Linked DNA regions of Mytilus edulis. The protein of the gene in region 2 purifies or fractionates together with the protein of the main gene of each other region. This does not show direct contact. Links are inferred from orthologs where the notes say so. Each region holds a gene or a part of one and is shown on either strand. Other genes may lie near its edges. The genes, in order: anaphase-promoting complex subunit 1-like, serine/threonine-protein kinase PLK1-like, syntaxin-binding protein 4-like and heat shock factor protein-like.

Region 1 (7,583 bases), on a different chromosome or scaffold from region 2:
CTAAACAGGAGGGTTGGCAGGAATGATGTAGTACAAACTGTGCATTGTCAATGATTCTGCATTTGTGTAGTTGAGATTTATTTGTTACTGGGCAGGGCTCACACTACTTCAGAATTATAGGGAGAAGTGACTTCTCTTTTTGAAACTGATAGGGAGAAGTGGTGAGATTTGAAAGAGAAGTGCTCATTCGCGCGGGTGCGCTACAATCTGTTTGGATTTTACAATAGTATAAAGGGCCATATGTAAATAATGTTCTTTTTATGTTGATCAATTCATATGAGTAAAAAATTACAATTAAAGTAACATTTGAAATTAAAAGTTGTTAAAGTTTTACTAAGGTTCTTGTGAGAAACTACCAACTAAATATCTAGCACTAAAAAAAAAATTTATTTTAAAAAATGTAAAGAAATTATATCAATTACAATTTAATTAAAAATTATCTTGTGTATGAAATTCAGTGTTTCTCATAAAAAAAAAATATAAAAGTTATTAAGCTGGGCCATAATATATTGATATTAGTATAACAGTCTCAGAGTTAAGCAACTTTAATCAATAGTTTGAAACATTCATAAAAAATATAGGGAATTATATACACCAATCAATTAGATGTAACCAAAAGTCTCTTAATGCGTGTGGGATGCGTAATTTTTCCCTTTGGGATCAATATTCTTCTGTCAGCTGTTCCATCCGTGCGTCCGTAGTAATTATTGTAAAAGTACGGATTTCGGTCATAGCTGGTCCGGTTCAGATGTGTAGTTTAGAAATCGGTCAATGGCGGACGAATGCAAGAAAATTTACAAAAATAAACGATGTTTGACAAGTTATTTGGAAAGGAACATGACGGTTTTAATGCAATAAATGGATTAAACATTTACTGGAGGCAACTTTTATCACGTTTAAATGAAGTAACAAACTTATTTTGCTGCCGAAATTTAGGTTGATGTACGTTTTTTCTAGTAACAAGCACCGGAACTTGCGAAAATGCACGAAGTGATAAAAAGTTGTATTTTTATCAAATAACCTGATACACACTGCGAAGACAATGCTTCAACCTCTTTTCTAAAGATAATGAATAGTTTATGTCTGAATTTCTTTAATTATCAGTAAAAAATTGAAAATGTCCGATGACGGAAGCGACTAAAAGCGACTTTCGTCAAGAACAGGGCGACTTGTTATCGCTTTTGGGGGTCGGGGAAAGCGAAGTGACGGTCGGGAAGGCGACTTCTTCGCCCAAGTCGCCTGGTAGCGTGAGCCCTGACTGGGTCATGTAAGTGATCCTTTTGGTTGGTGTAGTAATTAGTACATATAAAATTGAACATCGTTTTCAGTCAGATTGATAACACTTTCTGCAGGTTGGTCAACAGATGGCAATCAGTCAGGGGACTTACTGAAATAAGTGATTTTTAAATCACTTATTTGAGTAGCAAATTCGAGGTTTTGTCACAAATGGGATTTTGTAGTTTTTTCAAACTTTTAAACACATAGGTTTAAATAACATCTTTAAATTAGTAAAATTAAAAAATATGAACTTTTTGCTTCTTTTGAGTAGCAAGGTTTATGTCTTTGATGCTATCATTTACCTGAAAATTCTATTTTAGTTGAAAAAATGCTATAATAATGGCTTTACATAATGAACTGATACTTTCTTAAAAGATTTTTCACAGCAGTGGGAGTAATTTTCCTGTGAAGTTCAAGGTAATAAAATTCTACTGTTCGCGATAAAAATTTCACTGTTCGGGGGTGTTGAAATTAGTTGGGGTTATTAAAAGAATGATACTTAAAGAAGTGATTTTTGGGAAGGAAATTGAGGTCTGATACTTAAACAAGTGATTTTTATGTCATTATCCTAGATTCAGTACAAGGTCATCACCTGAAATGACCTGGTCATCCTAGACAACACAGATGTTGGTTCTGATAAGTTTAGAAACATAATTAGTCCCTGGATTATTAGTATTCTATATTTAAAGCTCCACTAATATTAAATCACTTCTTCTAGTGATTAATTTGTACTACTTAAATAGGTGATTATTAAAGAAAGACAACTCTAACTTCCAACCTTTATGGAAATAATGTTACTTGAATCAGTGATTTAGAAAATCACTTTTTTAAGTAAGTCCCCTGACTGGCAATAAAATTGAGAAAGGAAATGGGGAATGTGTCAAAGCGACAACAACCCGACCATAGAGCAGACAACAACCGAAGGACACCAATGGGTCTTCAATGTAGCGAGAATTCCCGCACCCGTAGGTGTCCTTCATCTGGCCCCTAAAAATATGTGTACTAGTAAAGTGATAATGGACGTCATACTAAACTCTGAATTATACACAAGAAACTAAAATTGAAAATCATACAAGACGAACAAAGGCCAGAGGATCCTAACTTGGGACAGGCGCAAAATTGCGGCGGGGTTAAACATATTTATGAGATCTCAACCCTCCCCCTATACCTCTAGCCAATGTAGAAAAGTAAACGCATAACAATACACACATTAAAATTCAGTTCAAGAGAATTCAGGGTCCGATGTCAAAAGATGTAACAAAAGAAAATAAATAAAATGACAATAATACATAAATAACAACAGACTACTAGCAGTTAACTGACATGCTAGCTCCAGACCTCAATTAAACTGATTGAAAGATTATGTCTTCATCATGCCTATTGCGATTGCTCCCACAGTCTTGCAAAGTTCACTTGTACAGTTGTGTGCTTCATTGTTTAGTTTGTAATGGTCTTTTTTAAGTTCTATTTTTTTGTAGTATTATTATAAAGTTGGTTAGCCTGTCTATTTTATTATTGAACATGGTAAACATTATATTCATAAATTTACCAGTAAAAAAGCATTGGTTTTCAATTCGTCTTTATACATCCAGCCACAGTTCCTTTATAGTGGTTTGATTTTACTTGTGCTTTATATAAACACTATTTTATAGGCGATAAGCACTAATGTATCATGCTCAGATGAAATTCTTTGCTGTTCGAAAAATTCTGCCAAATTATTAAACCGGAAAACACAAATGTAATATACAAAAACAAATCCCGATCAACTATGCAACACATCCGGATTTAGCTGTAAAATATAAAGGGCGAAATAGTCGAAATAAGCGCTACGAATTTTGACGATATGGTCAGTAATTTTAATAAAATGGAATCTATCAGTGAACAAACATGCCTTGTTTGGTTCTCATGCATGTTAGTAATAATAATAAACTTGAGGCTCTAAACAGCATGGGTCGCTCACCTTGGTCTATGCAGAGACATATATACATGTGTATATATGTCTCTGGTCTATGTCATTGTGATCCAGTGCATATTAAACAAAGGCCGGACACTCTATAGCATTAATATAGAGACAAGAATAGAATTCATAACAATATTCTCTATTTTGGTGATGGTGACTTGATTCTGCCTTGTTTGTAGATCTTACTTTACTGAACAGTGTTGCTGTAAGTTACAGTTATCTCCATCTATAGACACAATAAATGATAAGGATAAACAATTACATTGAATGCACATTTTCAAAAAGGATTCGGCAAATCAATCAACTGTTCTCTATTAAAAGTGGGCAACCCAGACTGACACCTGTTGATTTATGTTGATTGTCTTAAATTCTGTTATATACGTTTTTACAGAGACATATAATACATATTGTATTATATATGTCTCTGGTTTTTAATATAACTATACACAATAATCTTGAAAACTTGTAATGAAAACATAATCAACCTAGTTGTTTTATACTCATGTAATTAAAAGACAATTAATATTTCAAAGGCCTTTTTTACCGTACTGCAGTTCACCTTTTACATTATAACAAAATTCATAAACATTTATGAAATTACAATTAATATATATCTTTATTTTTATACCTTATAAAAATATTTTTCTTGGGGCCAGATCGACGTTTGGCCGGATCGACGTGGGGCCGGATCAACATGAAAGCCACTTGGCCAAGTAGTTTCAGAGGGAAAGATTATTGTAAAAGATAGCAAAAATTTACGATAAATTGTGAAAAATTGACTTTAAAGGGACCAATTAACAATTTGATAATTCCGACTTATTTGTAGAGCTTACTTTACTGGACATTTTGTATGTTTGCTGCATGGCCAGGTGAGCTAAAAACAATCTGGTGGATAACTGGACATTTTATGTGTTTTAATTTTTTTAACATATATTCCTTAATCTCATCTTCACGTATTTCGTGTGTTCTATGTCTTATCTATACGGTTTTACATCAAATACAAATAGTGTAATTGTAAAATCGTATAGATACGAGTCAGGAAACATCTAATACGCGAAAATAAGTCAAATTATCAAGGAATATTAACTTTAGAAAACATTAAAAAAAAAAACAAAAAAAAAACACAGATGTATATACATGGAAAAAGGAAGTTCCTTTCCAAAAGTGCTTGGGTAAAAAAAATGGAAGCAGCTCGAGAAAAGGGCCGCTTTCAGTCTGCATTGAACTACCGTGAAACTTTGGTCATTTAAAATTCCAGCATCAGAATAACACCAGCTCTTAGTCAATTGAAAATTCAGCTTTTCATCGAAATTATCTATGGCACATAAAAAGAGATATGCTGATCAAGTAATGCATACAGATGTATGGTTCCTGCCAATGAAATTACGACGTCTTCTATCTAAAATAAATTTGCAGATTTTGGCACTATAAATAATAATACTATCACAGTTACTGGCTAGAACAATAGACAATTTATCCAGATTAGAAAAGTTTAAAACGTTTGAGTGTTCTGACAAAATAATTTTAAAAAGTTCATTTCGCAGATCATCGTACAACGGACACTCTCAACAAAACATGTTCCTCAGTTTCAATAAGGTTTTTACAGGTTTCGTAGGTCCGTTGTTGCAAAGGTAGCCTCTCAAATCGTCCAGTCTCTAGGCTGATCGAAGCAACACCACACCGAAACTGTGCGTATGCTCTTCTATGCGATGGAACTCATATATAACTTTGTGCATGTATTCCTCGATGTGTAATAACGTTTTAAACGATACTACCGACCTTAATAATCAACCTAACTAAAATGTCATTAGAACTTCTGGCAATTTAAACATTAATCTATTGTACAGACAGGTACCACAACACATATTCCAATAATGTTGAAGGTTAATTTGGTCAACTGTGACCTATCCCTGTGATCATGTTGACTGATTGACAGTCCCTCAACTATGCGGACCTTTTTATCCTGTTAACTGGTTGACGAGTTCCTAAATTATCACAATTCCATTCTATTCGATTTGTCAAATCTATCAACCAGTTCACTCGATGTATTACATTTGCTCGTTTTATTACATTTTACAGATAAAATCAGATAAACTTAGATAATCATTGTCAACAATGGTTCACCGTAATAAGTCCCGTAAACAGGCGTATCAACACGAGAAGTCCATTAAATAAAGGCAACAGTAGAATACCGCTGTTCGAAAGTCAGTAATCGATTTAGAGACAAACCAAAACTGAGGTAAACACATCAACTATAAGGGAAAAACAACGAAACAACAGAAACACTGCAGTGCAACAAACAAAAAAATCGACAAAACACACACAGAAACTAACTATAAGATAAAAACTGCAATTTTCCTGATTTGGTACAGGGCATTTTAATATAAAATGGTGGGTGAACTATCATTTTATTTGTTCAGTGAACCGAGAATTTGGGGTAAAAACTCTAATTTGACATTAAAATTAGAAAAACCAAAACTTTAACTTGAAGCGGGACAGACGGACAGACGCACAGACCAGAAACATAATGCCCCTCTACTATCGTAGGTGGGGTATCACCACTCCTGCATTGTCACACGATGATAACGCTACAAAAGTGACGTCACAGCAAAAGTGACATCACATGTAATTTCATTTTTTTTTCATATTATTCAAAATCAGGTTTGTATTTATGGTATTTGATGTATGATGTAACAATTACAATTCTATTAATATAGAATTGTGTTAGTAATTAGATAATTAATTGTATTATCTCGCTATGTCGGTATGTCTTAAATTGCCAAACTAACCTCTTATAATGATCTGGGTGATTAATTATCTTTACATACGAATAACATATTAAAAAAATAGAATTACAACTACAAACGACAACACATTTAACAATATCCGATCTGAATTACAAATACAACATCATAATTAAATAAATTAATTTTTGACATCAAAGTACCCTGAGACGTTTTATAGTAATGCGAAATCACACTCAGCAAAACAGTCAAATTCGGGAATAGGTCACGTTCGGTTCTTTTAAAAAGACAAGACGACGTAAATGGCAAACAAAGACGTGGAAAACTGTCCCTAGTTAGTTTATACAGAGACACATCGTATGGATCAACCAATTCGTGATGGTGTCCATAAAATTTACGGAGAGTCATTTTAATCGTTTCTCCTCATTTTGTTGGTGCAGTTTCTGCGTAAGGAGCACACTCCTGTATATGAAGTCCGTTTAATGTGAACATGCACGAGCATAACCTATTAACTGAATTATGTAAACACCATACGAAGGGACAGAGGGTGTGTTATTGCTGAGAAATGGGTAATTGATAATTGGGAAGTTGAAATCGTCCCGTTTGTCATAGATTTTAGTGTGAAGTTGTCCATCTGTTTCAATATTGAGAAAAAGATCAAGGTATGAAGCAGTCCTTCTAGTATCAGCAGTATCCTTAATTTCAAGTTCACCTGGATATATGATATGTAAGTATTGACTGAAATATGGGTTATTCAGTGATAGGACATCATCAATATATCTGAAAGTATTTTGCAAGGTGCTTTTTGTTTTTGTTTTTAGAAGGTTCTGAATGAATTCTGCTTCATACGAGTACAAAAACTAATCGACCAGTAGGGATGCACCATAAGTAGCCATTGGAATGCCGACTGTCTATTGAATTATCAACCCTCCAAACTCAACAAATATATTGTCGATCAAAAAGTCCAGCATTTTGATAGTATCACCTTCAATATCTTTTCTGGTAGTTTCATTGTGGTTCTTCACAAAATAAGAATTATTATAACCCGAAACAAGAAATTTGTATCTACGATTCCCACTTTTATAGAAAAAGCTCTGTTTATTGAGATGGTGAAGTCGATCTTTCAATTGAGCATGGGGAATAATAATGTAAAGCGTAGAAAAATCAAAAGTCTTAACGTTGCTACAAAATTGCAGATTTTGTGATCTAAGATTATTCAGTAGATCTTTAGAATTTTTGAGAAGCCACGTCTGGGTAACACCGTTGGTAGAATATATATCATCACAATATTTTTGAAGGCCATCTTTTACTGTAGAAAGAATAGTAGTCTGTAATTTACAAAGATGTTTAGTCGAATATTTTGATGATCCAGCTATGTATCGTTCTTTATATGGAGTTTTGTGAAGTTTTGGTATCCAGTATAATGATGGTAAATTTTCTTCGATTTATTTGATATGATACCAAAAGAAAGAAGAACAGATTTGTGATTTTGTAAAATTTCATCCAAAGAAAATGATGTTAAAGAATATGTAGGATTACCAGTTGTGATGTTTATTCCAAGCTCTGTTGTGAGACATTGTAAATAATGGCTTTTACATATG
Region 2 (7,015 bases):
ATTTTATTTATCTTTATGTAAGAAACTAACCTGAATAGTTAGACTTTCCTTGCAATTGATCCCTCTCACTCGCAAGGGCCTGATCACAATGCAAGTGAACTCTTGATACAAATGCAAAACACTTCAATTATTTCTATTGGCTTTTTTATAATTGAGTAAATAAACATAATTATATAAAGTACCTTGTCCTTCTGATGTTGTTTAACCAGCAGTGATTTGGGAACAACCTTCCCAGCAAATAGTTCTTTTGTTTCCACATCTGTCAACTCGTAGCATTTAGCAAATCCTCCCTGTAAATAAGGTACAAAACATTTAAATTTACAGTGTCTTCCACTTCATGTTTTGCAGTGTCTGTAAAAAGGGGAAAACTATAATTCAGGACCTATAATTCCTTGGTGCTGTCTGCTATATTTGTTTTTAGCATAAATGATATCAAGATGTTTGTTTAATACTAAGAATTTGTTTCACATTTATTGATTAAGTTTACTGTTATATATGAAACTTTAAAAGCTTTATTTATACTATATTGTATCATACCCCCCCCCCCCCCCTTTTTCATGATTTAAGGCAGTTGTGCGCCCTTTAGTTGTTTACATCCTTTGGACTCTGATGAAAAATTGTCTCATTGGCAATAATACAACTTGATAGTACAGTGTACAGCAGTTAGTCCGTTTTTTTTTTTATCTTCATAGCCACATTTTTGGGAATTAATTAAATCTTCAGTAAGAAAGCTAAGTAAGGCCGTTAGTTTTCTCGTTTGAATTGTTTTACATTGTCTTATTGGGGTCTTTTATAGCTGACTATGCGGTATGGGCTTTGCTCATTGTTGAAGGCCGTACAGTGACCTATAGTTGTTAATGTCTGTGTCATTTTGGTCTTTTGTGGATAGTTGTCTTATTGGCAATCATACAACATCTTCTTTTTTATATATAGCACTAAATATATATCTAATTATAAGTTACAAATATATAAAAAAAAAAACTTATCAGCATGTTAGGAAAAAAATACTATTAAAAATAATAGTAAACTTTTTTTTTGCAGAGCAGAACTGTACTTCACCATACAATGTATGTACAAGGGGTGAAGACAACACAATTTCTTAATAGTTACAAGAAACACATATTTTATTTTGGTCTATAGAAGTACAGTGAATCAAAAACTAACCATTGATCTGAATAGACATTTAATTAATTGCAGACAAATCTTGTTTAGTTAATCATGTTAATCTGATTTGTAAAAAACAAGCTCTTAATGGATTAATTTCATTTAAATATCTAATCCATATTTTACCCATAGAACTATAAATCTTTATTTTTGCACTGGATATATATATCTTAAATCATTATGAGGGTGGCTGTTTTTAGCACAGACATATAATATTTATACAAAATGTAGTGCACTGCAAGCATAATTTATTGATGGCAAGCTAAACACAGGTTTAATGTACATAATGTTACTTTTCAAATTTTGTATATTGCTATTTTGGAAATCTGTGCGCAACAAGTTCACTGAAAACTTGACACACTGGAATTATGAAGTCATACAACAATCAAATTTCCTTAGTGATGCCAATATTTTCTATGTCTATAATGATATGATTACTACAAAATTTTACAAGACTATTTAGATGTCCAGTCATTGCCAACAAAAATGCCTTCTCCTCACAAATTTAATACTGTGTATTACCAACAGTCACCTTAATGATTTGTCTAAATTAATTAAATGCTTCCTTTTATCACATATTTCTGTGAACCAATAATAATTCAGCCATGGTGTCTTGGGGCCAAATAATGATTAACCTTAATGTTCGTACCATGACAGCAAATATCTGATATCTAATTTATTTTTATATCCCTAAAATTTGATACCCAAAACATCTTGAACACCTTCATTATTATCTGGAGTGGAGATCAGTTTTTTCACTGTAAATTTCCCGATTTTGCAGTGTATTCCAAACTCTGTCTAACTGACAAAATGTCAGACAAAAATTCATTCGGTCAGACAGACATCCTCAAATTTTTTAGGTGAATATATAGTGGAAAAACTTCAAATTTCTTTTTCAGTCAAACAAAACCTAAAAGTTTGGCAGACTGTTTTGCCTTTTGGATATGGTTTAGGATGTTCCCCCAATCCTCAACCTCCTTACATTCAAATTCTACTAGGTTAAAGATGTGATTGATATCCGATACACCTTATGGATATTTTCCACCATTACTGGATTGCACAAATTATAATGACCATGCCATGATACAAAAAAATCTGAAGCCACAATGGAAAAGCGATTGTTGTATGAGGTCAAAAGTTCAATGGGACAGAATCTCGGGTCAACCAGGACAGATTTCCAAATATGTGTATTAATTTTTTTTTAGCATAAAGAAATCAGCTGTATGTTAACAATGTTAAACATATAAAATTCTGGATCTTTGCCAAAATCTCAGCTTAGAAAATTATACAAAGAAAGGTAAAATAATTATCAGGTTTGTTTCCTTATATTGAAATCACGCGAAACATTTTTAAAATTGACTTTTCATAGATGAATAATTTTGAAATTTGTGTATTTTTTATTTGTTATACTATCATAACACAAATCTTAGACATGTCATAACTTGCATAATCAATAAAATAATAAGGTAAAGGTATCAAATTACTTTTAAAAATGTATATATTGAGTAAACTCTTTTATTGAAATTCTAATATGTAAGTAAAAGGCATAGAATTTTTTATTTAGATTCAAATGTGTTACCTTTCCGAGAAATCTTCCTTTCAAATATCGTTTCCCTGAGCTTGGATCCACAACCATGTCAGGAATTATATCTTTTTTCATCTCTTCTCTTCTCGCGCTAGACATTTTGATATTTCTATTTGGATGCGTAGGTCAGGTAAAAGAAAAAAGCATGAGAGATTATTTCACCGCAGTAGTATTTTAAAAAGAGTTGTCTCTATTTTTCAAAAATATCGTAGTCTCCATTCAACTTCACAGACGAATTTCAAATTTGAGTACTTCGGAAGGTATTCAAATCAACAATAATTTGATTGGTCAGATCTTAAAACCGCACTTTTGATTGGTCAATTGGCTCCGCCAGGTGGACATGTTGTTTCTTGTCACCTTTTGGAATACCTCGGATATTTTCCATGCAATACACAGACGACTATTCATACTATTTAATTGGTTGAATAGTATTGAAGTAGACCAATCAAAATTCTGATATCTAAAAATAATACCGGAAGTTGAAGATTGCAATACACAAAAATGTCAATGCTTGCAGAACCTCGAAGAAAACAAAAGCTATCTATTGACCCAAGAGGTTCAAACTGGAGTAAAGGTATTGGGGGTTTACAGAAGAATTGTCTATATATGTCACTCTTTCATTACCACATTGTCAAAATAAAGAGAAGTACGGGAAGCAAAATAAAAATGAACTGTTATTTACCACGTGTTCCTGAAGTTGAACTAAAGTTATGATGACTTATTTTGTATACTGTACATTTGTATCTCTTGTTACTGTCATTTTGTATGCTGGACAGTATTCTGTTTGGGCACGAATTGATTGTATATATATCATGATCTGAATAAACTATAATATAATCATAGTTTGCATTCAAATTTAACCCAAAGTACACTAACAAACATGTGCCAATAACACACATAGGCACCCCAGTAGTTGTAAAGTCAGTTGATATTTGGTTCTTAAACAGTCATGTGACAACACGTAGTTATCTTCTTAATTAGTTTTATGGTTGATAGAACATGTGTCAATAGTACAACTGTCAGTAATAAGGTAATTAAATTGGTGTGTACACTACGTTTTTCATTAATTATTTTAAAGGTATTTGAAAAGGTGTCCAACTGTACACATTGCTGTATTCAGCTGTTTTTATTTAAATTAAAATTCTTTATTAACTTTGACCCTTACCATACTTACGGCAGTGATGGCTTTTCAATACTTTAAATTAACTGACATAAGTCTTAATGTTCATCTATTTATTTTGTTAACATCCTTGCTTATTGCTTTCATGTAATCTGTTAAAGAAAAAAAGTTTTTATAATATAAAATATGTTAACAAATAATTTATTTCAAATAAGATGAACAACATTGTCCATCACAATAAAATTCTTCTAGTAGTTGGAGTATGCAATATACATGTAACTTACAGGCTAATTTTATGAGATATTTTATTTAGTCTTAGTTCGTTATGAGCTGAGTTAATACGTGATCCTCCAATTGGTGCTTTTTTGTGGAAATTTTATGTCTCTTAAAGTAAATTTCTTTCTGTCTGTCTCAAGGCCTGTTGCGAGTTTCCCATCAAATGACCCCAGTTCAACTGGAGCAGTTGATGAATTTTGAATCAAATTTGAAACCAGTTTAACTAAAAACTGAACAGGATTTTACTGTGTGTATTTTACTGTTCCTTCAAAGTAGTTTCAAGTTGGAATTCCCATAAAATAATGAATTAAATGGAATGTTTTGATTGACATGCACAATTGAGTGGCAATAGAAATATTCACCATAGTAATAGGGAATTTAAACTGTTTAACTGGGTAGACTTTCTTAAATGCAATGCATATCTGTCCTCTTGAGAGTAGATTTTGTGGTATAAACATATTTGTCTACTATAGCTAGGGGATGTTTTATGACCTTGACTTCACATGAGGGTAACATTTGTCAATCCTTTTGATGAACCATAATCAAGATACACTCAAATTGCATCTGCAGTGATATTGTTGGCTTTTTTCATAACTACCTCTACCCTTTTTTATTGGGAAGATATGCATCATTTGTATCAAATTGGGAAATTTGTAATAAACCATGAATTTGACTGGAACTTCAATTTGCAGATCCCCTTTTAAGAGGTAAACCCTCATTTGAAATAAAAGCCCTTATTGTCAGTGATGATACATAAATAGACCCTGAAATCTGTACATATAGTAATTTTAAGGCATGAAAAATGTTTAAATGAGTGTTTTTCAGTTTGTATTCATGCACAATTACTACTTGACTGCACTGTTTGGGAAAAAAATTGTCTTTTTGGGAATAATTTTAAGCCATTTTATTTTCAAATTGGGATTCTTCTCCAGGGGAAAAAGCCTTTATTCTCCAGTAATTTAAGAAAAACAATATCACTGATCTGGAAAATGAGGAATTTGATTTTAGATTTCAAAAATCACAATTAACATAAAACTTTTTGAAATATTTCAGATGAATCTAAATTTGGACAGAAAATGTTGGAGAAGTTTGGATGGTCTAAAGGAAAGGGACTTGGGGCAAACGAAGATGGGCTAACAGATCATGTAAAAGTATCTCTGAAAAATGACAATCATGGTTAGTATTTATTCTGTCTGTTAGTTATATGATATGAACTGAAAGATGAAAATCTTTGATGTTCTGTATTATTTAGCTAAAATAGACACCAAGAACTGTACCATTTTACAACAAGGCAAACTTGGGCACAATAAACAAAGAAGTAAATAACTTAAATAATATAATATAAGAAAATCTAAAAACATATTTTGTTGATGAACCTTGGCAAGAATTAAAAACAAAACTTAACCAACTAGTCCCCGAGTCTATTGAACACCCAGAGATGAAAAAAACATATAAACATATATATAAGCAACTCAAACGTCAAGTACAAAAACAACTTAGACATTCATACTGCCAGTACACTGAACATATAGTTACACCAAAACCTGCGGAAAAATACTTTTCTAACAAGAAAAAACTTGGTCTGCAAAGTACATAATTACAAATACCTTAAATTGGGTTATTTTGGTTGTAGTTTTATTTTGGCTTTTTTGGTGCCTCCAATGAAATTGCCAAAATTAAACACACGAAAATAAATCAAAAACTAAAAATTGACGCTCGAATCAAAATTTTTTAAAAAGGCCAAATAAAGTACGAAGTTTAAAACATTTAGAACCAAAATTCCTAAAAAAATTGCCAAATACAGTTAAGGTAATCTATTCCTGAGGTAGAAAAGCCTTTGATTTCAAAAATTCAGTTTAGTTAACAGTTAATTTATAATTATGAACATATCAATGATAACTCAAGTCAACACAGATATCTATTTATATATATTAATTTGATATCTATTGCAATGTTTATTTTTAAGGTCTTGGATGTTCTAAAAGTCAAGTAGATAACTGGATAGCACATCAGGACGACTTCAATGCTCTCCTAGCTAACCTTAATCAATCTAATACACAGATTGATACTGAAAAGGTATCCAGTCTTGAAAACAGATCAAAAACATCTAAAAGTCGTGTACAGTAAGTTTGTTTGTTCATAAGCTAAGAAATAATTTTATAATCTTGCTTGTTTAAAGATATTGTCTATTTCTATTTATTAGACATCATAAGTTTGTTTCTTGTCTTTACAATCTTGATTTTTATGAATCATCATTTGTTTGATTATAATACACCTACAGCTTGTAACATTGTTCAGAAAATCTATTACATTTCATAAAGTAATTTCTCAACACGAACCATATACATGATTGAATTTACAACTTCATTAGTACCAGATGTAATGTGTACATATGAAAAACTAATTTGTAATATTTACATTTGTATTTATAACAACTTTGTAGATACATGTAACTGGCAAACATACTAAAATGTGTACAATTTTCCATTAGTAAATGATATCATGCTCTCTACTTTTTCAGTGATTTATCTTAAAATATTTCAGTTACCAGAAGTTTACAAAAGGTAAAGACCTTTCTGCAAAATCCAGTCAAGACCTTGATTGTATATTTGGTAGACGTACAACAAAAACAGAGGATACCGTAGTCTCGGTTAGAATCAATTTCCAAATTCTACATAAATTGAAATGTTTAAATAAGAAAACTATCTAGATCTCAGAATGAATGAAATGTACATAAAGAGAGGTTTTATATGCCACAAACAATATTAGGGGGGGGGGGGGGGGGGCATTATAATTTCTGGTCTATCTTTCTGTCCCTTACTAAGTGTTTGGTCAAGGTAGTTTACCATGAAGTTGTACTCGCATCAACT
Region 3 (7,608 bases), on a different chromosome or scaffold from region 2:
CTGTCAAAATTAGCTTTGAGACATGTACAACATGCATGACATGTTAGACATGTTAATTAGACACGTGAAAAACTATAAAAAAATAATAAAATCAATATATTTCAAATATTGAGAAAATCAGTGGAGACCGAAAACAAATGGAAAAGGTAAGCCGAGTCAAAAGAGTAAGGCTAAAAAGATTTTTTCTGATTGGACAAGCTAGCTTGATATCAAGGAGCATGAGAGCTGATGAGCAATAAATGAAGGTGTTACTATTACCAAAAATTTGTAAGGGTTCCGCGGAACCCAGTGTCTCGCCTATTTTTGCTGTAAATCACAGGCTCAACAACAATGAGGAAAAAAATCAATAAAAATATTCCTCTTGTTACTATTTTATGATTGTAAGAAAATCTAAGTCCATTTGAAAGTAAATTACAGAAAAAAACAGAGTAATCTTTTTACAAACTTTACTTCTGGATACAATCTTATGATCATAAATAAGGTTATTTCCAAGTTTGGTACAAACCCAGGATAGTTTAAGAAAGTTATTTAAATTTTAAAAACTTTAACCACAGAGTGAATGTAATGGTTCCCTGCAGAAAAAACTAAGTCCATTTATAAGTAAAATACGGAAAAAATTGAATTTTATTTTTACAAAATTTTCTTCTGGATACTATCTTATGATCATAAACAAGCTTCTGTCCAAGTTTGGTACAAACCCAGGATAGTTAAAGAAAGTTATTAAAATTCTAAAAACTTTAACCACAGAGTGAATGTAATGTTTCCCCGCAGAAAAAACTAAGTCCATTTATAAGTAAAATACGGAAAAAATGGAATTTTATTTTTACAAAATTTACTTCTGGATATTATCTTATGATCATAAACAAGCTTCTGTCCAAGTTTGGTACAAACCCAGGATAGTTTGAGAAAGTTATTAAAATTCTAAAAACTTTAACCACAGAGTGAATGTTTTGTTTCCCCGCAGAAAAAACTAAGTCCATTTATAGTAAAATACGGAAAAAATGGAATTTTATTTTTACAAAATTTACTTCTGGATACTATCTTATGATCATAAACAAGCTTCTGTCAAAGTTTGGTAGAAATCCAGTATAGTTTAAGAAAGTTATTAAAATTTCAAAAACTTTAACCACAGAGTGAATATTTGTTGACGCCGCCGACGACGCCGACGCCGACGGAATGTAGGATCGCTTAGTCTCGCTTTTTCGACTAAAGTCGAAGGCTCGACAAAAATCTATACTTATTCTAAATCTACCTTATGGATCGCATATTATGTACGACAAGTAATAGTTCAGTGGATAATACCAGATGGAGGCAACACAGAACAGACACACAAAGCTGTTTTCAGGTAATCTTAGTCACATGATCATGATAATACTTTAACATACATGACATATATATATATATATAGTCTGAGGATTTATTTATTTGCTTGGGTACCTTCGTGGATTGAGGTGATATCTAATTTCTTGGTTTTGCCAAAGTTTGTATACAGTCATTTATAAAATTGTAATTTGTTCATCAAATTGACTTTAACCTCGAAATCCAACAAATATTTATGAATTAGTTAATGATTTAGAAGATTGAATTGATAAGTTTTATTATGATATCATTCATGTACCATGTGTACAAGTCCTTTATTTTAGCAAATTTTTCAGAAATGTGCACAGTTAGTAAGGTAGTATGGAGGCGGGGCTTATTTCATACATGGTTAGTAGTGGTGTTACCTCCTTTTATATTCCATATAAGGTAGTAGGGAGGCAGGCTTATTTCATACACGGTTAGTAGTGGTGTTACATCCCTTTATTAAAACAAAACGGTACTGAGAAAAAAACGTAAAGGTTTCAACAGACGAAGCAATTGATGATTCAGATTGAAATAAATTCATAAAACACATTTAAAATAATGATACTTAAAGATGTGATTTTTGGGAAGGAAATTGAGGTATGATACTTAAACAAGTGATTTTTATGTCATTATTCTAGATTCAGTACAAGGTCATCACCTGAAATGACCTGGTCATCCTACCAACACAGATGTTGATTCTGATAATTTTAGAAACATAATTAGTCTCTGGATCATCAGTATTCTATATTTAAAGCTACAATAAAATTAAATCACTTCTTCTAGTGATTAATTTGTACTACTTAAATAGGTGATTATTAAAGAAAGCTAAAGACAACTCTAACTTCCAACCTTTGTGGAAATAATGTTACTTGAATCAGTGATTTAGAAAATCACTCATTTAAGTAAGTCCCCTGACTGTTTATGATTAACACTAACAGGTTATAGATCTGAACGGTAGTAAAGTGACTATGCAAGAACATGTTATAAAATTGTAAACATGAAGCATGCTGCTGTCAACCTACATGTAGTCCAAATAATTATGACGTCTTGGAAGGCTATGTTAATTTTTTGCTTTGATGCATTCCTGCGATGTGGGGCGTCAAAGAAAAAATATAATAGACTTTCAAGATGTCATAATTATTAGGACTACTGTCAAGGATTTGTATAGTAAGTCTTACTATATAGTCGACCTTCGTATGGATAGAAACAAGTGCCTGTGTGCCTGCCCCCAAAAAATTATGGACAGGTAAAATAAATTTATGGTATGTGATAAAACTTGACAATATCTCATGAATACAGTTTGTGATGCAACCTAAACCGTTTTTTTGAATTATTCTTTGAATAAAATAGCTGCAAATAAACAAGGTATATGTAATATAAACTTTAAACCATATCAACATTAGGGGGGGGGTAGGAGGGGTCCTGATCCCGAAATCACGGGCTTAAAAACACGAAATCCCGAGGTCCCGAATTTAAATAAAGTTAAATCCCGGATCCCGAAATTTGAAAAAAAGAATTCCCGGATCCCGAAGGAGTAAATCCCGAAATCCCGAGCTTAAAAACACCCGATCCCGGAGTCCCGATAAAGGTCCTATCCCCCCTCACATTAGAACTTACAAAGTTATTTTTTCGAACCGGAAACAAGTATCACCCTACTACGCAGGCGCAAATTGCTAATTTTCCCGAGATTCATCTAACGGCCGCCATAACAGCTGAGAGAAGTTGTTTATCGGCTCAAACAAAGATCTACTACAAAGCAAGGATGATTTGGAACTATTTATGATTATATATTTCAATAAGCTTAAACTAAGTCTCCCAGAAATGTACTGTCTACTTAGAAATCAAAATGATGACAAAACAATCGCAAGCTGAAAAATAAACAAAACGGTGTCACAACAAAACCACTGTCACTGACACTTTGCTATCCTGTTTCCTCAACAAGTTAAATAAAATAAAAACACGCTTCATATATTTGTTTTGTTAGAATATGGGATCAAGAGGCGTACCTGTGGATAAGGTAACTTTTGTTAAAAATATAGTAGGTTAGCTATGCATGCAAAAAAATGTGTCCTTTTCTTTGCTGAACAGTGAACTTTATGAACCCTGCAAATGAGTTAAATTAAATCAAGATTGTCGATTTTATAGAAAATCAACATTTCATACAACTAGTAACTATTTATCTTTTATTGCATTCCCCCGATATCCGTGAAGGGAAATTCAAGCTCATATACTGACAAAAATTTCACCCAGTTTTTGTTATTTTTTGCATGCACTCAATATCCGGTCAGTTGCCACTAAAACATGTTCGCACCACACACGTTTGCCCCCTAGGTCTGTTCGCATCCTACTCCTAGCACCCAAATTGCATGCATGCACCAAAATTTTATTCAAGTACACATCAGTCAGGGATGTAACTCTATCATTCTATAGGCAAAATGATAGGGTTATTACAGGAAAATAACATACATTTGTTATTGTGGACTAAAAAATCAAAGAACTGTGATAACATATGTATGTTACATGTTTCAAAGAGACAATATACATCATTAGTGGTGCATTTTCGTCAAAAACTCTGGTTTTAGTGAACATCATCCCTGTGTTTAGGGGCATCGTCACTTCTGTTCTAATGTCATGAATGTTGAGTGAGTGGTTGAAAAACTATAATACTAGATATTGCACGAATTATTTGGCAAATTAAAATCTCATAATTGTCAATCTGAACTGCTGTCATACGGGAATTGTGATTAAGTACTTACACAACAAACATTATTTATAGTTTATCCTGCACAATGATGATCACTAAGACGCTTGATGAATATTAATAGTGCAGGGATACAGGCGATCCCCTCTATCTGATACTGATAAATGACATCATAATGACACACATAATTGACCAAGTTTTTCCGGTGCGTGAAGATAAAATGTACACTTTCTTTTAGAGGACATAAGAATCACCTGTTTTTGATGAATTATGTTAAACATTTTCCAAAAATAATGTTAACAATAATTATTATAGACCTGACAAAGAAACCTGTCAGAATCTAACTTTATTTCGAAATAATGGGAAAAAAAGATATTTATAGCATTTTACACTGAGAAAAACACAAAACCATTGATTGTGTTGATTAAAAGTGTGCAAACAGGCTCTAGGTCATGTAGGTGCAAAAGTGAAAGGGCGGGACTATGTTTTGGGGTGAAAAGACTGTGATTCTGTGCACTCCAAAAATGTGGTAGGATAGTCAACCAGTGGATGGTGGCCTCTAAATGACTGGAAGAAGAGGGTAAAGTTAAACAGAAAACGAACTGACTACTCCATCATGTCCATGGCAAAATACAAACAACATTTTTTTATACACTTTCCATAAATTGTTTTACTAAAGATTGAGCAACATGAACCCCTCCATAAACCTGGGGTTATGGCCGTTGCTTCTTAGGGAAAGCAAATCTTGCTTCACATGTGACAAATATGTTGCACATATACAATCCTACCTCGCATGTGACAATTATGTTGCAATTATGTACAATCAGTGATTCACTGTACAATGTACATGTACACATGTAAGTATAAATTCAATGACAATGTTGTCACAGTTAAGGAAAAGAGGACAGTTCTGAGTTATTTCCCTTCAAAGTCTAATGAATTTAACCATTTCCTAGATTATTGACGATAATTTGATTTTCACTAATCATACTACATGTAATACTAACATGTAATAGACAGGATTGATAAAGTGTAACTTTCAATGTCAGAAATGATCAGCAAGACATTATAACATAGATATGTCAAACATTGGCGAACTTGTCACACAAACAATTAGAAATGACTAAATTTTGGACTCGACAGACAAGCTAAAAAATCTAGGGCTCAAAATGCTCGTCTTGACAAGATCTTTACAAATAGGTCAATTGTACACTATAATTTCTTGTTATTATATAGGCCTGGCCTCTCTACTAGGGGTTTTCTTGGTAATAACATATATGTACATGTATATATATCATGTATATATATAGACCCAAATCCTTCCTTCTACAGCACCACTTTAGCTTATAATTAAGTCAAGTAATTTTAATGCAATATTTGTATTTTCAATTTCAGATAAACCTTAGACTTATACTGGTTAGTGGCAAGACAAAAGAATTTTTGTTTTTACCGAATGATTCAGCGGCAGATATAACCGATCATGTTTATACAAACTGGCCAACAGGTATGTTCATATTTATCACGTTTATAGAATTTTATGTGTATACTATAATAAAGTGAATGTTTACAATTTTAAGTATAACATGTATAATGGTAATGGCTGCGAAGGTCCTAACAATAAATAAAATGAAGAATCATGCTAGGGGGCACCACTTTATAACAGATGAAAATGTAATTCATTATTAAACATGTTAAAATCAAATCCAATTTTATGTTAATATTTAACACTCTTATCTGCTAAATGATTGGAGTTTCCCCCAACATAAAATCTTAAATCCACACCTAGATTAAATTTGAAATATAACAATATGTAAATGATGTACAGTACAAGCAAAAATGACAACTGTTCCTTTGATGATGAAAGTTTTTAATGACCTTGACTGGCTATGCAGTCCTTTCAGTTGGTAACTGTTCCTCCTTCATACATGTAACAGATTCCTTTTATTCATTGATTTACACAAAAATTTACAAGAAATTTTACAAAGAACACATAAGATGAACAGTCTTAAATATCTATTCAGGGTGTTCCGATATTTATTTTAAAATTGTGTGTGTTCGTGTCCTGATTTATGACCCTGTCATATGCATATAGGTATATTTCTGTTGTTATTTACATCGAGACATTGGTAAGTCATGTAAGTTACAGTCTTCACGCTGAACTGCTAAATCTACAGACCCGCATCTCAATTTTTGAAAATTTTTAGTTAGATTCTGTTGGCCTGTAGGTCTGATTTTTACAGGCCTGAGAGCAATTTTACCAGCCTGGGTGAAGACTGAAGTTAAACACACAGAAAGACAATGCTAGTTGAAACACACACATGACACAGAAAGACATTGCCAGTTAAATCACACACATGACACAGAATGACATTGTCAGTTGAAACACACTCATGACACAGAAAGACATTGCCAGTTAAATCACACACATGACACAGAAGGACATTGTCAGTTGAAACACACACATGACACAGAAAGACATTGTCCAATGAAACACACACATGACACGGAAAGACATTACCAGTTGAAACATACATGACACAGAAAGACATTGTCAGATGAAACACACACTTGACACAGAAAGACATTGTCAGATGAAACACAAACATGACACAGAAAGACATTGTCAGTTGAAACACACACATGCCACAGAAATACATTGTCCGATGAAACACACACATGACACGGAAAGACATTGTCAGTTGAAACACACACATGACACAGAAAGAAATTGCCAGTTGAAACACACACATGACACAGAAAGACATTGTCAGTTGAAACACACACATGCCACAAAAATACATTGTCCGATGAAACACACACATGACACGGACAGACATTGCCAGTTGAAACACACACATGCCACAGAAAGACATTGCCAGATGAAACACACACATGCCACAGAAAGACATTGTCAGTTGAAACACACACATGACACAGAAAGACATTGTCAGATGAAACACACACTTGACACAGAAAGACATTGTCAGATGAAACACAAACATGACACAGAAAGACATTGTCAGTTGAAACACACACATGCCACAGAAATGCATTGTCCGATGAAACACACACATGACACGGAAAGACATTGTCAGTTGAAACACACACATGACACAGAAAGACATTGCCAGTTGAAACACACACATGACACAGAAAGACATTGTCAGTTGAAACACACACATGCCACAGAAATACATTGTCCGATGAAACACACACATGACACGGACAGACATTACCAGTTGAAACACACACATGCCACAGAAAGACATTGCCAGTTGAAACACACATATGCCACAGAAAGACATTGTCAGTTGAAACACACACATGACACAGAAAGACATTGCCAGTTGAAACACACACATGACACAGAAAGACATTGTCAGTTGAAACACACACATGCCACAGAAATACATTGTCCGATGAAACACACACATGACACAGACAGACATTGCCAGTTGAAACACACACATGCCACAGAAAGACATTGCCAGATGAAACACACACATGCCACAGAAAGACATTGTCAGTTGAAACACACACATGACACAGAAAGACATTGCCAG
Region 4 (7,109 bases), on a different chromosome or scaffold from region 2:
CTGTGTTTGAAGTAATGTGGTAGAATGTCTTTTGCAAATCTGCCTTGATCATAAACATGGAAACTGGTTCCATTCTGAAATAAAAATACAACATGTTAGCATCACAGAAAAAAACACAGTAAAACTAACAAGATTATATAATCAATTAAACAGAAAACATCAACACATTACCAGCATTCCAAGTCATTTGATTCCAGGGTCCAGGGAAGTGTTTTTTCCTCCTTAGCACAAGAGTAAAACAAATGCTAGTGTCAGGTGTACGGTGTGGTGCTGTAGATGTAAAAGGCACAGATTTGAGACCAGGTACATTTTATAGGTGGCAAAGATTTTCCTAAATAGATTTAATTGGGATTAATTAAGTGATTCTCAGGACAGCAAACTAGCATTTTACTTCAGAATCTAAATTCAAAAGGGATTGAGATGTCGATTGCATCATTGTACATAAAAAAAACACAAACATAGAAAACCAAAGACTGAGCAACCCTCACCCCACCAAATGCAGCGAGTAACCTAAGTTGTAACTGAAGAGTAAGCAAATCTTGCTGCACATAAACAGGAGCTATATGCCTTCGAATCGCAAGATCCCTTCTTTTAATAAAATTAAATTGAAAATAGGTTCTCTGTTTGAACAAGTTGAGCAAACAATCCTGTCTTTTCATTTAAAAGAGAAGATAGCAATCAAATAAACCTGAATTTTGAACTTGGAGTTGGATAAATTGGGTCATGTGTCTTTGTTGCAGTTCCTTGAAATTCACCTGGTTTAACAGGTAATAATTAATTAATGACAAGTGGATATTAGAATCAAGCTCAATGGTCGCCAATGTAACCAGAGAGCATGATTCTTCTTGCAAAATCGCAGGTCTCCACCGGGACATGAAATCGGGACCTCTGTCAGTCTGTGTTATAATTTTATTGAAAATCAAGGGTGACACAAACTTCTCCCTCATGCTTCTTAAGAGCAGTAAGGAATCTTAGGACTATAATATCGTCTTTTTACACTGGTGTGGTGACCCATGCACTACATGTCAAGAATAATTTATAAGGATATATATAACTTATCCTGGAATGTTGGTAAGTCGTTATCCTAAGGACATTTTTTTATATTTTTTTCTGTAGACTTAGCTTTGATTTTTTATTACCATGCATTGTCAAGCTTGGTAACTCATAATTGTTTCTCAGTAACTCAATGTACGATGCTGCCCCATACTGAACCTACTGACCTTGCTTTGTTTACATTCAAATTCCAATGGCGTCAAAATCACGTGATGTAAAATCGTTCTACCCAATCAAATTGCTCTACTGTCAATTACAAATGTAGGTGATTTTTCAGTCTACCGCAATTACGTTATTTGTTTGTGGGATATTGCTTTAAAATACATGTAGTTTGCAATAATTTGGGGTTTTATTCAACAGGAAACCTCATTTTTTGCCATCCTCATCAATGGAATTTTGTATGAATATTTACCATTTACAGTCATGATGGTCAGAATATCGATCTTTTATAATGAATAAAAAAAAAATTCTATGAAAAATAAATGTAAATTGTTTTTTATTAACCTACTTTATATTCCTGACCAAAATTATGGCATGGACATCGTTTTTTCATATAGTTTTCCTTTCATTTTGGTTGGGCTTTTTTCGCGGGAAAATTGCGAAAGACGTAGGGAGCATGTCATTTTGAAATTCTTAAAAATACAATTTGCTTGACTTATATTGCCTGCCACAAGATTGATGACGCTGAATGGAATGACACACAAAGCAATTGAGGCCGGAAGTGGGATTTTGTGAAGTTCTAGAATGTTTTTAGAATTCGAAAGTCAGGATTGAAACGGGCATTATAGTCCACGTCACGTAAAATTGGCACCCTGTTTTTTGTTAAAATTTTTTTAAATATCAGCCGCGTTTACTCAAGATGGTGTTTTTCTTTTAGCTGAAGTAAAATCCTGTCCAAATATCCACTACTGTCCTACCTTTTATTGTGTTTGCACTGTATAATCCTGACCTTCACATTTTTCAAGATTATTTACATTGTATAACCGCCATCTTGGTTTCTATGAGGGTCCCTTATTCCATAACATTCGTTACTCTCCGGTAATATCATTGTCATTGATGATACAATTTCCCGCGCTTTTTACGTAAAGATGACGAAAAGCTCCGAGAGACACAAGAAAATGGAGAGCACGTGGAATACTTCCGGTAATAACTATGTCGGATTCCACCATACAAATTAATCTTGGATTATGTGAAGGTCAGGATTATACAGTGCAAACACAATAAAAGGTAGGACAGTAGTTGATTTTTGGAATGATATTTGATTACGCTAATTCAAAAACATGATCTTTAATAAACGCGGTCGATATTTAAGAAAATTTTGACAAAAACATGGTGCCAATTTTACATGACGGCGACTATAGAAAATTGGCATTTTTTAGCCATAATTGAGAACAACAATGAAAACTTACCTTTAGAAATGTTTTTTTATTCAAAAGAGCAGAAAAAACGTATTCTGCAGTGTTTTTCTATTCAGGAAGTAGCGTAGTGACGTCAATGTGTAGTTTCCCCGTGTGTTAAGTTCAAACACAAATACCTAACAAACTGACAAGATGACCGATTTTAGACTACGGTAGGATATAACTTTTTCAGTTTTGTTGGAAAATTAATCATATATCAAATAAAGATCATTATATCACACATGTCTCAATTTCAGTGGGTTTTTTTTTCGTTATTACGTTGACGGACAACAACTTTTTAAATCAACAGGTAAACTAAGTAGACTGAATTTGATCCTAATAGTACCCTCCCCCTTTTTTATGTATTTATTGATTATGTCATGTTGTTGTAGTTTACCTCGCCCCAACAAATCAAATCATCGACCATAGGGTTTTCTACAAGTGTCCATAGCTTTGTTAGAAAGGCTGGAACAGTGCTAGGCATGTTTTGAGAAGTGTTATTCACAATGTACATATCCGACATCACGAATTCAGTTATTTTTTCTGTTAGCGCATGTGCCGATCGAATCAACACTATACGAAGATGGAATATATTTCGGCACTTTTTCTTTCAAAAAGTTCTATAACATAATTTCTAGATATTCATATAAAACAAAAACAAAAATAATTGATTTTTGCTAAGATGAGCTGTTATTATATGATCCAGAATTTACATGGTGCAATGTTTTAATTTAGATTAAAGGGTTCATTTAATGTGATCTTGTCAACTGTCCGAACTTTACCGAAGTCTGCATTTCACCGATTGTCGGCCGGTCGGCCTTGATTAAAAATATTATAATCTGATCGTCAAACAAACAGTTTCTAATACAGTCAGGATTCAACTTCGTCAAAATTATCTCCCCATTACGCCAGTTCATTTTCACAATCGTAGAAATGGAAGCCATTGTAGAGGGGGGATAGGACCTTTATCGGGACTCCGGGATCGGGTGTTTTTAAGCTCGGGATTTCGGGATTGACCCTCTCGGGATCCGGGAATCCTTTTTTTCGGATTTCGGGACGTCGGGATTTACTTTATTTAAATTCGGGACCTCGGGATTTCGTTTTTTTAAGTCCGGGATTTCGGGATCAGGACCCCTCCTATCCCCCCTCATTGTAGGGATGACCGTCTCTGCCAATTTTGCTCTTGGAAACCGATAAATTTATCCACATCGGTTGCACCATTACGATCCTGATATGCCAGTTGTATTTTAAAAGACAAATGTATCAACTAGAAAATGGGCATCAGTTAATGATCTTGTCTGCATTGATTCAACTTAAAACTATTGTCTGATCGGTTGTCAGGTGGAATTTTCGAAAATTCATAAACATTTAAAAAAAAATTAATTAAATATTTCGTGGAAGGGCAGACTAGATTTTTTTAGTGGTTGAAGTCAAGACTATAAACCCTAGTTATCACACACAAAAAAAATATAATTTTTTTTCGAAGATATGCATTTTCATCATCCAACTTGAAAGACTGTCGTCAAGTACTTTTAGTAAAAAAAATAGCTATTCGAATCTGTTTTTGTGATTCATTAGAGAGGTATTTCACTTGACCCATATATTTCATTTTTTAGCACTGTGATTTTCTTATGTTATAAAGTCAACCTGTAGCTTTGATATGTAAAAATGATAGAAACTGAAGCGAGACGATGTATGAAATATTCTTGCTTTGTACGATATCGAGACAAAATGTTCAACTCAAACACGCCCTAACATAAAAAGGTGCACTCGATTTTCTCTTTTCGATACAATTGTTACCCTTTTTTTGGAATTTTTTCTTGAGTCACATAATGGAAGGGTAGACACGAAAATTAGTGAACTAATAGATTGATATGTTTTCCGTCCGTGGTAAAAAAAATAATAAAATCGGAGGTTATGCATTTTCTACATCCAACTTGAAAGATACCCATGTCGTCGACTTGATATCTAATATGAAATTGTAAAAGTACTATGATGATGTACACAGAAGAAATGTTTAACATAATATGTGATTCTATATTATTTATCGCGATTGATGTCTCAGATTTTTAATCTATAATAAGAAATGGAAGTCTTCCACCGTTTCCATCATTTTTCTTTGTATTTTCTGGTGCTATCTTTTTTTTGTTCATGTTGCATTTATATGTTGCTTCTTAACGTAATTGTCTTTCTGTTCCCACAAAAGTGTATGTACAATCTTTACATAATCTTACCGTGAATTAAGGGCCATAAGTTACGAGTTCAATTTGCTAGTGTTTGATATCTAGTATTTATATTTACCATCAACTGTTGATATCGTGTAATATGACTGTCGGACAGTGTTCGGAGGTCACCAAGATGGTTAATTAGATGACGTCAATAAATAGAATAAAATACACTCGACTGAATGCGGTTATAATTAATGAATAAAGTATCAGGACTATCAGGTACATGCACCTTAAATTGTTTAGACTTTTCAGTATAATTTGGAAAAAACGTTTTAGTATGTAAATTTAAAAAAATAAGATAATTTAAATCAAATCAATGAACATGAATTTAACAGCTAACCCCCCTTATGCGTGACCCATACTTTTTTTATTATATTTTATTTTGAAACAGCAAGATACACACTACATTTTTGCAAATCACTAAAACATTCTATCTTTTGACATTTATTCCCCCCCCCCAGGAAAAAGGATAAATCTACCTTAAAATACACTAACAAAACAGACGCGTATCCAGGGCTTAAAGCGGGGGGGGGGGAGAGATTTTTATTTGATCCCCTCATACAAATATTTAAAAGAATCTGATCCCCACTATTAAACATACCCAAATGTTTTAAAACATGCAAAACACTTATCATATTATTTTACGGAAATATTGCAAACATGAAATATTCTTAGTGGATTGAGTCCAAAAACATATTTGAAGGAACATTGCCATGAAATAGCCTAGGACTCTTCCATGAATATCATTAGGTAGAGCAAGCCAGTGCTTTTGGAAGCTTTTTCTGACCTTTTCCTCCTTATCTCCTATATTGGGCTATTAAAGAAAGCTTGTTCCTAAGTAACTCTGGCTCTCGCAAGAACGCTGCGTAAACTTAAGTTTTACGTTATTGAAATCTCGATCCCTTGAGTGGATAGTTTATGCTTTCAGCTTGAACAATCAAATACTCATAATTGTCACATTTCATTCATAAATGTGTGAATGTAACTCCAAAAAAAATATTATTAGCCTAAAATGTACAAATTTTGAGGGAATGAGAGGTATAAAAATGGACCCAAAAGGATCTTATAATGAAAACATAAAGGTATATAAGTGATGTTCATCGTCTCAGAATCATCTTTGTGTCAACATTTAACAGTTTTTATGCAGATTAGATGAATATTTGATCATTTATTGGAGAATTTATTACTCTACACTATATTATACATGATGCGGCGTGATTTGAATTGTTTGACACAACTTTGCACAAATCGCTGTTAGATTTCCTTAAGATTTACACTTCACTTCTCTCAAACTGTCCAGGTGATTATAACAAAACTATGAAGTAATGCTTGTTAATGTAGTGATTGACGTGAGTGGCTGAATATAACGACATGATTATTCGTGTTATGAAGCGCCAATGCATTTTATATGGAACAAAATGACACAAAATTGCAGATTCCTACATCACCAAAGTCATGTGTTGTTTTACTTAATTGTTACAGTACATGAATGGTGGTAAAACTATTTTTCCATTTGATTGTTCTTCTTGACATTTTGTCTCTTTAACTTTAAGTATGTAAACTCTCATTTCCATATGCATAAAATATTGATCCTCCACTTTGAATTTATAAACAAAATTTGAACCCCACTTTTCCACATACAGAAAAAAACTTGACCCCCTGTATTTTGACCAGCCCCCCTCCCTTTCCCAGGTAAAAAATGATAAGTCCCAGAATTGTGACTTGGATGGAGAGTTGTCTCATTGGCACTCATACCGCATCTTCTATGGCTATTTAAAAATTACTTTTGTTATTTAATCACAGATCTTATCCGCCCATTTTTGCAATTGCTCAGCTGTATCAGCCCTTGCGTCTATTCCACTATAGCTGGCTTTTCATGTGTGTGAGTAAAGTCTAATTGTGCTGAGATTTTCATTCATCATTTGCTTTTATCCAGTTCTGAACTGGTTTCTTAACAAACTGTACGAGGTTGTGGTCAGTAGCGAACAAATTGCAAAATTTGCAGCAAACTCCGTCCTGCGTAGTTGAAGGGACAATCCATTGGAAATAGTGCAGCCACGCATATTTGAAACATCTTTTCAACCCGTAGATTTCTTGTTTTCGTAAAAGGAAAAGAACTAGGTGGGTTTCGGTTTTTATTTAAGCACTAGATACAGATGTGGAAATAAAGTTGGAATATCCTTAGATTCAGCAGGCGTCTCAGCAGTTGCAGAATTTTCTTTATAAAAAAAAAGAAAAAAAAGCGATTTCCAAGTAGGGGTTCCGCTAATGCAACACTATGGTTTTCAATGATTTTCTTTGTAGCTTAAAAGACTGTATTTGCTAATTGGTAAATCATGTAAGTCTACAGAAAAAACACTAAAGCACGTTAATATAATAAGTAAAAATAAAAATAAAACGGCAAAATATACGGCCTTGGATATCAGTCATG

What was found.
Region 1: the proteins of serine/threonine-protein kinase PLK1-like (region 2) and anaphase-promoting complex subunit 1-like purify together in Homo sapiens (affinity purification with mass spectrometry; 3 studies listed by BioGRID and IntAct, with this or other methods). This does not show direct contact. The link is inferred for Mytilus edulis from reciprocal best matches to the Homo sapiens genes PLK1 and ANAPC1.
Region 3: the proteins of serine/threonine-protein kinase PLK1-like (region 2) and syntaxin-binding protein 4-like purify together in Homo sapiens (affinity purification with mass spectrometry; 3 studies listed by BioGRID and IntAct, counting the BioPlex papers as one, with this or other methods). This does not show direct contact. The link is inferred for Mytilus edulis from reciprocal best matches to the Homo sapiens genes PLK1 and STXBP4.
Region 4: the proteins of serine/threonine-protein kinase PLK1-like (region 2) and heat shock factor protein-like purify together in Homo sapiens (affinity purification with western blotting; 3 studies listed by BioGRID and IntAct, with this or other methods). This does not show direct contact. The link is inferred for Mytilus edulis from reciprocal best matches to the Homo sapiens genes PLK1 and HSF1.

What each region holds. Positions count from the first base shown.
Region 1 is NC_092346.1:58,240,489-58,248,071, forward strand, and holds the start of anaphase-promoting complex subunit 1-like, read right to left. Parts: upstream 3,026-7,583; 5' UTR 2,828-3,025; intron 1-2,827. UniProt on the Homo sapiens protein: Component of the anaphase promoting complex/cyclosome (APC/C), a cell cycle-regulated E3 ubiquitin ligase that controls progression through mitosis and the G1 phase of the cell cycle.
Region 2 is NC_092350.1:30,189,778-30,196,792, forward strand, and holds the start of serine/threonine-protein kinase PLK1-like, read right to left. Parts: upstream 3,027-7,015; 5' UTR 2,849-3,026; coding exon 2,744-2,848; intron 291-2,743; coding exon 183-290; intron 1-182. Other genes in the region: PIN2/TERF1-interacting telomerase inhibitor 1-like, read left to right, coding at 3,251-3,323, 5,199-5,321, 6,112-6,268, 6,690-6,795. UniProt on the Homo sapiens protein: Serine/threonine-protein kinase that performs several important functions throughout M phase of the cell cycle, including the regulation of centrosome maturation and spindle assembly, the removal of cohesins from chromosome arms, the inactivation of anaphase-promoting complex/cyclosome (APC/C) inhibitors, and the regulation of mitotic exit and cytokinesis.
Region 3 is NC_092351.1:86,283,207-86,290,814, forward strand, and holds the start of syntaxin-binding protein 4-like, read right to left. Parts: upstream 3,012-7,608; 5' UTR 2,962-3,011; intron 1-2,961. Other genes in the region: ubiquitin-like protein 3, read left to right, coding at 3,332-3,361, 5,441-5,549. UniProt on the Homo sapiens protein: Plays a role in the translocation of transport vesicles from the cytoplasm to the plasma membrane. Inhibits the translocation of SLC2A4 from intracellular vesicles to the plasma membrane by STX4A binding and preventing the interaction between STX4A and VAMP2.
Region 4 is NC_092348.1:32,811,086-32,818,194, reverse strand, and holds the start of heat shock factor protein-like, read right to left. Parts: upstream 3,014-7,109; 5' UTR 2,974-3,013; coding exon 2,848-2,973; intron 75-2,847; coding exon 1-74. UniProt on the Homo sapiens protein: Functions as a stress-inducible and DNA-binding transcription factor that plays a central role in the transcriptional activation of the heat shock response (HSR), leading to the expression of a large class of molecular chaperones, heat shock proteins (HSPs), that protect cells from cellular insult damage.